2 linked regions of the Macaca mulatta genome follow. The protein of the gene in region 2 interacts with the protein of the main gene of each other region in a biochemical or structural test. Links are inferred from orthologs where the notes say so. Each region holds a gene or a part of one and is shown on either strand. Other genes may lie near its edges.

The links. The genes of interacting proteins can lie anywhere in the genome.
Region 1: the proteins of COPA (region 2) and COPE form a complex in vitro, tested with the Homo sapiens proteins (3 studies listed by BioGRID, with this or other methods). The link is inferred for Macaca mulatta from reciprocal best matches to the Homo sapiens genes COPA and COPE.

Annotation. Positions count from the first base shown.
Region 1 is NC_133424.1:19,475,000-19,479,467, reverse strand, and holds the start of COPE (coatomer subunit epsilon), read left to right. Parts: upstream 1-1,416; 5' UTR 1,417-1,455; coding exon 1,456-1,581; intron 1,582-4,468. Other genes in the region: putative ATP-dependent RNA helicase DDX49, read right to left, coding at 1-56, 952-1,066. UniProt on the Homo sapiens protein: The coatomer is a cytosolic protein complex that binds to dilysine motifs and reversibly associates with Golgi non-clathrin-coated vesicles, which further mediate biosynthetic protein transport from the ER, via the Golgi up to the trans Golgi network.
Region 2 is NC_133406.1:106,543,701-106,548,275, reverse strand, and holds the start of COPA (coatomer subunit alpha), read right to left. Parts: upstream 2,875-4,575; 5' UTR 2,797-2,874; coding exon 2,757-2,796; intron 42-2,756; coding exon 1-41. Other genes in the region: NCSTN (nicastrin), read left to right, coding at 3,023-3,107, 4,348-4,452. UniProt on the Homo sapiens protein: The coatomer is a cytosolic protein complex that binds to dilysine motifs and reversibly associates with Golgi non-clathrin-coated vesicles, which further mediate biosynthetic protein transport from the ER, via the Golgi up to the trans Golgi network.

The DNA.
Region 1 (4,468 bases), on a different chromosome or scaffold from region 2:
GACAAACGCTGCTGTCTTCCCACTGCCTGTCTTGGCACAGCCCAAGCAGTCTCGACCTGGGTTGAGGACAAAGCAGCATCAATACCCTCCATGTGTGGACAGCCATTCCACTGGGCACAGTGTACAACAGCTTACAAAGCGTTTAGTGAGCAATCACTGTGCGTCAAGTCCTGTGTGCCAGTAAGCCTTTTCCATTCTGGGCATACTGACCACTTTCCACTGGCAACGGACAAATCCTAGGAAGGGATTATCATCTCCATTTAACAGAAAGGAAAACTGGGTTTCAGAGACCTGCCCAGGACACACAGCCAGTGAGGAGCAGGCTGGACTGGAACCCATATGTATTTGACCTGAGATGCCCACAGCTTCCCACCACCTCATTCTAACTCCCTCCAGGAGCACATGAACTTGGGGAACCCAGAATTCCCTTCCCTCATAGGCATCTTGTGCTCCCTGTTGACCCCTTCATTTGTTTATTTAATCCCTGACTTGTCACATCTTAGGCTTCCTGTGGGCCTCTCTTTAATGGCCAAACTGGGTTGGGCTAGAGAAGCAGAGAGAAGACCTGCTCCTAGAGGAGCAATCACAGGACCAAGGAGTCCTGGATCTACCAGCAATTTTGACAGCCTCAACTTCTATTTGTAAAATAAAAATAGCAGTACCAGGTCTGCAGGATTTTGCGATACTATCGATTAGTCATTCATCAAACCCTCCCTGTGCTGAGACTATGAAAATTTCAGAGATTACATCAGTTGTGTACGGACATAAAGCGAGTCGGTCATGCAAGCTAAATGCCAACACTGTCCAGTCGGCCTCCGGAACCCCGGATCTCCTGTAACGCCGGAGGTTACCCCTCGCCTCGTGGAACCGGAATGAGCAAAGGCTGCGAGAAGGGAAAGGGGTCGAGAGGAGCGGAGACGCCTCTTGGGGAAGGCACCGAGCCATACTTACCCTCCAGGATGGCGGGAATGCAGCCGAGCTGCACGGGCGTGGGCTGCTTCAAACCCAGCTGCCGACATTGTGCCACTAGCCACGACGACAGCCCGAGCTCCGCGAAGCCTGACATCCCTGTGACCAGCCGTGTGGGGGCCCGTGTGATCTGCGCTTCCGGCGCGCGCCGACGACGTCACGAGAAAAACTCTTCCTGTTTATTGGATCTGCCTCCTGCGTGGTCCCACCTTCTCCAGCTCCCTCAGCCCATTCCCAGCCTCGACCGCATCTTTATCATGTTTCCCCGGATCCCATTGGCTTGCAGAAACACACTACAATTCCCGAGATGCCCTGCGTGACGCACTTACGTCTCCCGCCCCCTTGCTTATCATTGTGGAGCTTCCCATTGGCTTACTTCGCCGCCACTCGGAAAAAGTAAACTACATTTCCCAGCGTGCCCGTGAAGGTGTCTTGCTTCCGGCCGACGTGTCTTTCAGGAAGAGGAGCCGGTGAGAAGACAGCGACATGGCGCCTCCGGCCCCCGGCCCGGCGTCCGGCGGCTCCGGGGAGGTGGATGAGCTGTTCGACGTAAAGAACGCCTTCTACATCGGCAGCTACCAGCAGTGCATAAACGAGGCGCAGCGGGTGAAGGTGCGGCAGCGCAGGGGCGCGGGGACGCTGGGGGCGGAGGCGGAGGACGCTTCCTGGTGGCTGCGAGCAGTGTTCTGCATCTAAAAACTTTCCCTTTTCTTCTCGCGTTTTTTGGGCACTTCTTCACAGTTCAGTGAGGAGTAATCACTGTCCCATGACAGAACCCAGAGCAGTAACAGTTTACGGTACTGCTCACTCGTACAGCGCTCGCTCTGCGCCGTTGAAGGCGTTTTGAGTAAGGGAGGTGTTTATGCCACTGTAGTTACAGTAAGTGTTTTTTGTCCAGCCATACGTTCAGTTCCCGTGAGGTGGAGACTGTTGTTTATCCTCATTTTACGGATGAGAACCCTAGAGTTCAGAGAGGGACGTTTCCCTGCCCACCGATCCTGGTTATTTCTCTCAGAGCTTAACCATTCATTCATTCATCCTTCATTGAGCACTTTTATGGACGGGCACTGTATTCCGCTGGACTCAGAATGATAACACAGTTTCCCAGCTTAGTGGCTCAAACACCTTTAATTCCAGCGCTTTGCGAGGCCGAGGCGGCCGTATCGCATGCGCCCAGGAGTTTGAGACCAGCTTGGGCAACATGGAGAAACCCTGGGTGTACCAAAAATACAAAAATTAGCCGGGCGTGGTGGCGGGCACCTGTAATCCCAGCTACCGGGAGGCTGAGACAGGAGAATTGCTTGAACCCGGAGGCGGAGGTTGCAGTGAACCGAGATCGCGCCACTGGCACCCCAGCCTGGGTGACAAAGTTGTAAGAATTAAAGAAAGAGGAAAGAAACACGAAAGGTGACTTGCCAGTCAAGACAGGTTTATTTTAGAGAAAACAAACCTGAGAGGCGCCTTCTGGCCGAGTTGGGTCAGAGGCACACTCTTTTACAGACTGAGTTTTTAAGGATTCAGGGTGAGAGAGTTTATCAGAGGCTTGAATTGCTTCTGTGTCTCTTTGTTGTGCTTATCTGGGAGGGAGAGTTATGTGTCTGTTCCCATACGTCTTTCTTGGTTCTTTTTCCTTCTTTCTTTTTTTATTTTTTTTGAGATGGAGTCTAGCCGTGTCGCCAGGCTGGAGTGCAGTGGCGTGATCTCGGCTCACTGCAACCTCCGCCTCCCAGGGTCAAGCGACATAATCTCACTGTGTGTCACCCAGGCTGGAGTGCAGTGGCACAATCACAGCTCACTGCATCCTCCTCCTCCTGGGTTCAAGCAATTCTTCTCCCAAGTAGCTGGGATTACAGGTGCCCACCACCACACCCGTTTAATTTTTGTTTTTTGTTTTTGACGTGGAGTCTTGCTCTGTTGCCCAGGCTGAAGTGCAGTGGCACGATCCTGGCTCACCACAACCTCTGCCTCCCAGGTTCAAGCGGTTCTCCTGCCTCAGCCTCCAGAGTAGCTGGGACTACAGGCGCCCGCCACCACGCCCGGCTAATTTTTGTATTTTTACTAGTGATGGGGTTTCACTGTGTTGGCCAGGCTGGTCTCTAACTCCTGACCTTGAGATCCGCCTGCCTCAGCCTCCCAAAGTGCTGTGATTACAGGCGTGAGCCACCGTGCCTGGCCAGGAATACTTTTTTTTTTTTTTTTTTTTTTTTTGGAGACAGAGACTCCCTCTGTCACCTAGGCTGGAGTGCAGTGGCACAATCTCAGCGCACTGCATCCTCTGCCTCCCGGGTTCAAGCGATTCTCCTGCCTCAGCCTCCTGAGTAGCTGGAATTACAGGTGCCCGCTACCACGCCCAGCTAATTTTCATTTTTTGCTTTTTTGGTTTTTGTTTTTGAGATGGAGTCTTGCTCTGTTGCCCAGGCTGGAGTGTAGTGGCATGATCTCAGCTCACCACAACCTCCGCCTCCCAGGTTCAAGCAATTCTCCTGCCTCAGCCTCCCGAGTAGGTGGGATTACAGGCTTGCACCACTACACCTGGCTAATTTTTGAGGAATACATTTTTTAAGCCATCTGGTCTGTGGTAGTTCATGACAGTGGCCCGAGCAACCTCAGCCCCACCTGAGGTGGCCCCAGGGAGAGCACCTGGCATGTCTTTGCCCTTTACTGACCCCAGCACAAGGCTACCATCATGACATTTCTGGCTTTCTCAGACATTTGCCAGTTGCCCACAAGATGGCAGGCACTGCCCAGCTGCTGGGATTGAAGCAGCTCATAGGCCTTGAGTTGCTGGCGGCCCAGTGCGGTTAGGTCGCTGGCTACAGGGACAGAAGGGAGGAGTTACTACCCCCAGGGTTTCTGGCTACAGGGCCCCCATCCTATCACCCGCCTTCCCAAACAGTACTCTGATTCCTCAACGATGGCCACATCTTAAGCCACCTGGGGCCAGTGCTGGGACCATCCTAGAGCCAGGTGACCTTGGTGGAGGTGGCCTACTGGCTTTGCTGATTTCTGGGCTCCCAGGTGATCCTAGTGAGCCCTTGGGGTTGAAGAGCAGTGCTCTCCCACCCCGCGGACACACGATGCTACCTGATGGTAGCATCATCCCTGGGAGTCAAGGAAAACCACAACGGTTCCAGAGCCTCACATGAGGGTCACGGTCTGCACGTTTGTTGTTGTTATGCTTCCTGGCACTCTTCTCTCTCCCGTGCACTCTGCAGCCTCTGAGCACTTCTGCACGCACAGCCTCCTGGGCAATTGCATTTCACACAGGGGCGGCTGAGGCCACCCTGGTGCCCCCCATGGTGCCCCACTGTGTCCTCACTTTGAAAGCCCAACAGCTGGCCGAGCGTGGTGGCTCACGCCTGTAATCCCAGCACTTTGGGAGGCCGAGGCGGGCAGATCACGAGGTCAGGAGATTGAGACCATCCTGGCTAACACAGTGAAATTCCGTCTCTACTAAAAATACTAAAAAAATTAGCCGGGCGTGGTGGCAGGTGCCTGT
Region 2 (4,575 bases):
ACTCGTCAGGATCCAAGGTCTTTTGGGGTGAAAGCTGAGCCCTGAAAAAAATAGAAAATGATACAATGAGCTAACTAAGCCCCATGATGTCACCTTCTGTCAATTCTGATAAGAAAAAGAAACAGCAAGGTTAATCCTAGGCTCATTTATTCATTCGATGCACTTGATGATTTTTTACTGGATGCCAGACATCATGAATTTTATGTTTGGTACTAGATGTTTGTTATATTCCTTTAAATATTGTTGGGCTTTGCTCTAGGATGCAATTAAGTTACTTGGAATCAGTTGATCCTTTCAAGGCTTGCTTTTAGGTTCTATTACAGGGGGGCTACAGCAGCCTTCATTCTAGGCTTAATCTGGAACCATTATTAAAGCAATAGCCCATCTGAGGTCTCTATTTGAAGCTCTATAATATCAGGAAGTCTTTCCATTCTGGCCAGTAGGAACACAAACTAGTCCCAGCCCTGTGTGAGCTCTGGGGATTGCTCTGCCTTCTCCTTTCCAGTGGTTTTTTGTCAGGTTTTGAATAGTTTTCTCACATGCAGATCAGTACTCAAAGACCCGAGAGGACATCCTGCAGACCTCTAGTGCTCTCTCTCTGCAGCCCCCTCTTCTCCAGTATTTTGCCCTGCAAAATCTAGCATCTTTGCTTCCCCACACTCTAAACTTTTGTCTCCTCAGAAAGAACAAGGGATTCCCCTTTTCACTGAAGCCTGAAAACTCTCTAGGCAGTAATCTATGACAATCATAGGACTCACCTTGTTTATTTCCCTTCTCTCAAGAATCATTTCCCTGCACTGCGTGTCACCCAACGTCTGTGAGCAATGTATGAACCTTTGTTTCATACATTTTGTTTGTTATTCTATCAAGACTGGAAATGGAAGTCCCCAGAGGTAACAACTACTAACAGTTTGGAGTGTACCCTTTCAGATTTTTAATGCAGTTACACATAGACACAGGCCTTACTATTTTATGAAAGTGGGGATCACATTATGATGTTGTTCTGCAAACTTTTACATTATTCTAACAGGCATTTACCTTTGTCCCCCAATTTTTGGCTATCAGAAGAGCCTACTGAAGATACTTCTACACATAATCTAGCCTATTTGCATTATTACTGCTCTAGGCTAAAGAACTGTAAGTGAGATTGCTCAGGAATAGAATATGTGCACTTAACATTTTAGTACATATATTTAAATGTAAAAACACTGTATCAATATACAGTCTCATGAAGTTTATGGAGGTGCCCATTTTGCACACAGGATGTTATCAGCTATTTGTTGTTTTGTTTTATAAATCTAAGACCCTCCCCCCAAGAAAGTAACTTCACTTTTTTTTTTTTTGCATTTCTTTCATTACTAGTGAGGTGGAACTATTTTAATTATTTATTGAACATTTACAATTTTTCTTCTAAATTGTCTATTTTTCCATTAGGTTCTCTTTTTTTTTTCCATTATGATATATAAGTACACTCAACAATGGATGTTTGCCCTCAATTATTACAACATCTTTGTTTTTCCTTCTCTACTGCCCAGCAAGAAATTAGGAGCAGAAAAGAAAACTGAAAGATTATGAAGACCCATTTCACCTACACAGGTCTCAGAAATTCTTAATGGTACCCACCTTTCAAGGTCAAGTTTCCCAAGAGACTTAGAAACTGCTCAGAATATATTCACACATTGAGAGCAGCCTCCACTTTTTGCACTACTGAGTCTACACCAGGTGCTGTAATAAATACATTCCATACTTTCTCATTTTAATTCTTTCTATAAAAGACTATTTTACAGATGAGGAAATAGAGACTTAGAGACCTTAAGTCACCCAAGTCATACAGCTTGTTAGTGGATGTCTCAGGATTCCAAAGCAAGCCCATCTGACTTCAAAGACCAACCACTTCAAAGACTAACCATTTTGTTACGCTGCATCTTACTACATACTCTAGATACTATTTTTTCCAGGTCTCTGGAGACCTTACTTCTCTCTGCCTTTCACATTTTAACATTCTGAGGTTAATACTGAGATCTCAGTATTTGCCCTCCACCCCCAACGACCCACACTCGAGCTCTAGAGTCGCCATACTTAGCAAATAAAAATACGAGATGCCCAGATATATTTGAACTTCTGGTAAGCAAGGACAGACTAAAAAAACTATTCATTGTTTACCTGAAATTCAAATTTAACTGGGTGTCCTGCATTTTATCTGGCAACCCTATCAAGCTGAGACTTTATTGGGGTTATAAGCCTCAAAGTACTACTTCCGGGTAGTGAATAAAGCCGAATGAAGGTACTGATGTTGAGATGCTGCAGCCAAGGCCTCCTTAAGTGAGGTAGCCACTACACGTCTCCAAAAAAGCTACTGACTCGGGTGCAAGTAACAGAGATCGAGACTCAAGCCCCAGGGCCACTCCATATAACACAATCAAAAAGTCAACAGGTCACAGGGCCTTTGGAGCAGAACAATACAAGTTGGGAGCACAGCAAAGAGAGAAAGGGAGAAGAAAGAATAGGGAGGTGGTCTAAGGAATCACCTACAGTGTGGGAGCCACTTTATAGGTAAATCGAAGCCCAAGGACACACCAAAGAAGAGGGGACTGGAGAACCGCTAGCCAGGCCTAACCTCTCTCCCACCCTCCGTCTTCCTCTGGGTCCGTCTAGTGGGCCCACTTCGGCCAGCACGTCTACCCATTTTCTCTTCCCCGGTGTCTGCGCCGCTCTTGACATCCAACCTCCATGTTCCCCTTTTTTTTCTCCACTACCTTTGACCCGCGCGCTCTTGGTCTCGAATTTGGTTAGCATCTCTCAGGTCTCCGACTCCGATGTTTTAATCCGAGCCCCGACACACCCTGCTGCCCTTCGGACGCCTCCACGTCAGCTACCCTCTGCCGCGGTTTCCGGAAGCTCCTGGAAACACGAACTTCCGGTCTGTTGGGCTCCGGGCCACAGAGATGGTGTCAGTGGTAGCCTAGAGAGGCCGCTACCCGGCAGGAGCCGAACGGGGGCTTCCGCTCAGCAGAGAGGCAAGATGGCCACGGCAGGGGGTGGCTCTGGGGCTGACCCGGGAAGTCGGGGTCTCCTTCGTCTTCTGTCTTTCTGCGTCCTACTAGCAGGTGAGGCCTCCCCACCCGTGAGCTCCGTTCTCTAAAGGGAACTCTCCGGATCGGCCCAGCCGCGAGCGCCACTGTCTCCCTTCTGGTTCCTGCTGCCCCTCTGTCCCCCCACCCTGTAAATCCTCTTTCTCTTTCGTTCCCACGACAGAAGTTCCCCCTTTGCCTGGACCTAAAGGTCCCTTCTCCCCCGCAGCATGTCGTGTCGCTTCACTCCCTTCTCTAGGCCTCTTCCTGGACTTCGAACTCGACCCTCTCCCACTTTGTCCAGATGCCTCGTTTTTCCCACAACCCCAGCCACCCACCCCACAGTCGAAAGAAACAGGTGTGAAAGTTAGCTTTCTTCCCCGCGTTTAGACTTTTTGAGACGAAAGCAATCTTGTTCTGTGGGTGCTGTGCGGCGCTTAAAAGGTAGATTTCTTATTTCTTCCTCTATTGGTTACACCCAAAGTCTGTGTCCCTCTGCCTTGCCTCAGGTTTTGTTTTTGTTTTTGTTTTTTTAATCAGTAAAGCAAGAATAAGGTAGGATATGGGTACTCTTAACTGTCCAAACCGTGAAGTAACGATTCAAGGAACTTTTGGCATTTATAATATACTTGACTGTTTGCTTATACGCGTTTATTTACTGATACATGGCTTTTTAGTTGGTCACGCCCTAAAATGCAAATGTCTGTATATAACTATGACTGTGCCTTCCCCTAGTTCACATTGTTTTTAAAGATCCTCAAAGGAGAAACTACAGCTGCCCCACACTGTGGGCACACAAATGACCTACTGATGTTAAATTAACTGACCAGTGTATGTCATAAGGTTTCTCTCAATTCTATTCACACTCTTGGAAAAGTGTCTCAGAAAGTTTTCTTAGCCCAGCACCTTTGTATTAACCGGTTAGTAATATACATACAGGATATACAAGCAGAAGTGTGATCACCTGTGCAACCAGAATTTGGCAAATCTAAGGTCAAACACCTTTCCTTTGACCAAGTTTTCTCTCTTTTAGTGTCACTGTCAATGGCGCTACATGGACTTTTTAATAACCCTTTGAGGCACATAGCTGAGTGCCATGTAGAGCATGTATCTGTTACAATAATGTGCGCAAGAAGTAAGAATAATGGACTTTAACCTCATTTTAGAAAGTGTGATATTGAATGATTTACCCAAGCCATACATCAGGTTAATTACATGATAGAAGCTAATACCTGTGTCTCTCAATTTTTTCTAACACTTTTTATCTTCCAATCAGGTTTGTGCAGGGGAAACTCAGTGGAGAGGAAGATATATATCCCCTTAAATAAAACAGCTCCCTGTGTTCGCCTGCTCAACGCCACTCATCAGATTGGCTGCCAGTGTGAGTTGAGACTGGGATTCATGTTTATGGACATTGATATTTGTCTGTGCCCTAGATAGTAAGTAACAGTCATGTCCTGCTTAGGAGTTCTGACACTCATACTGGACTGAGAGTAGGCAGTTG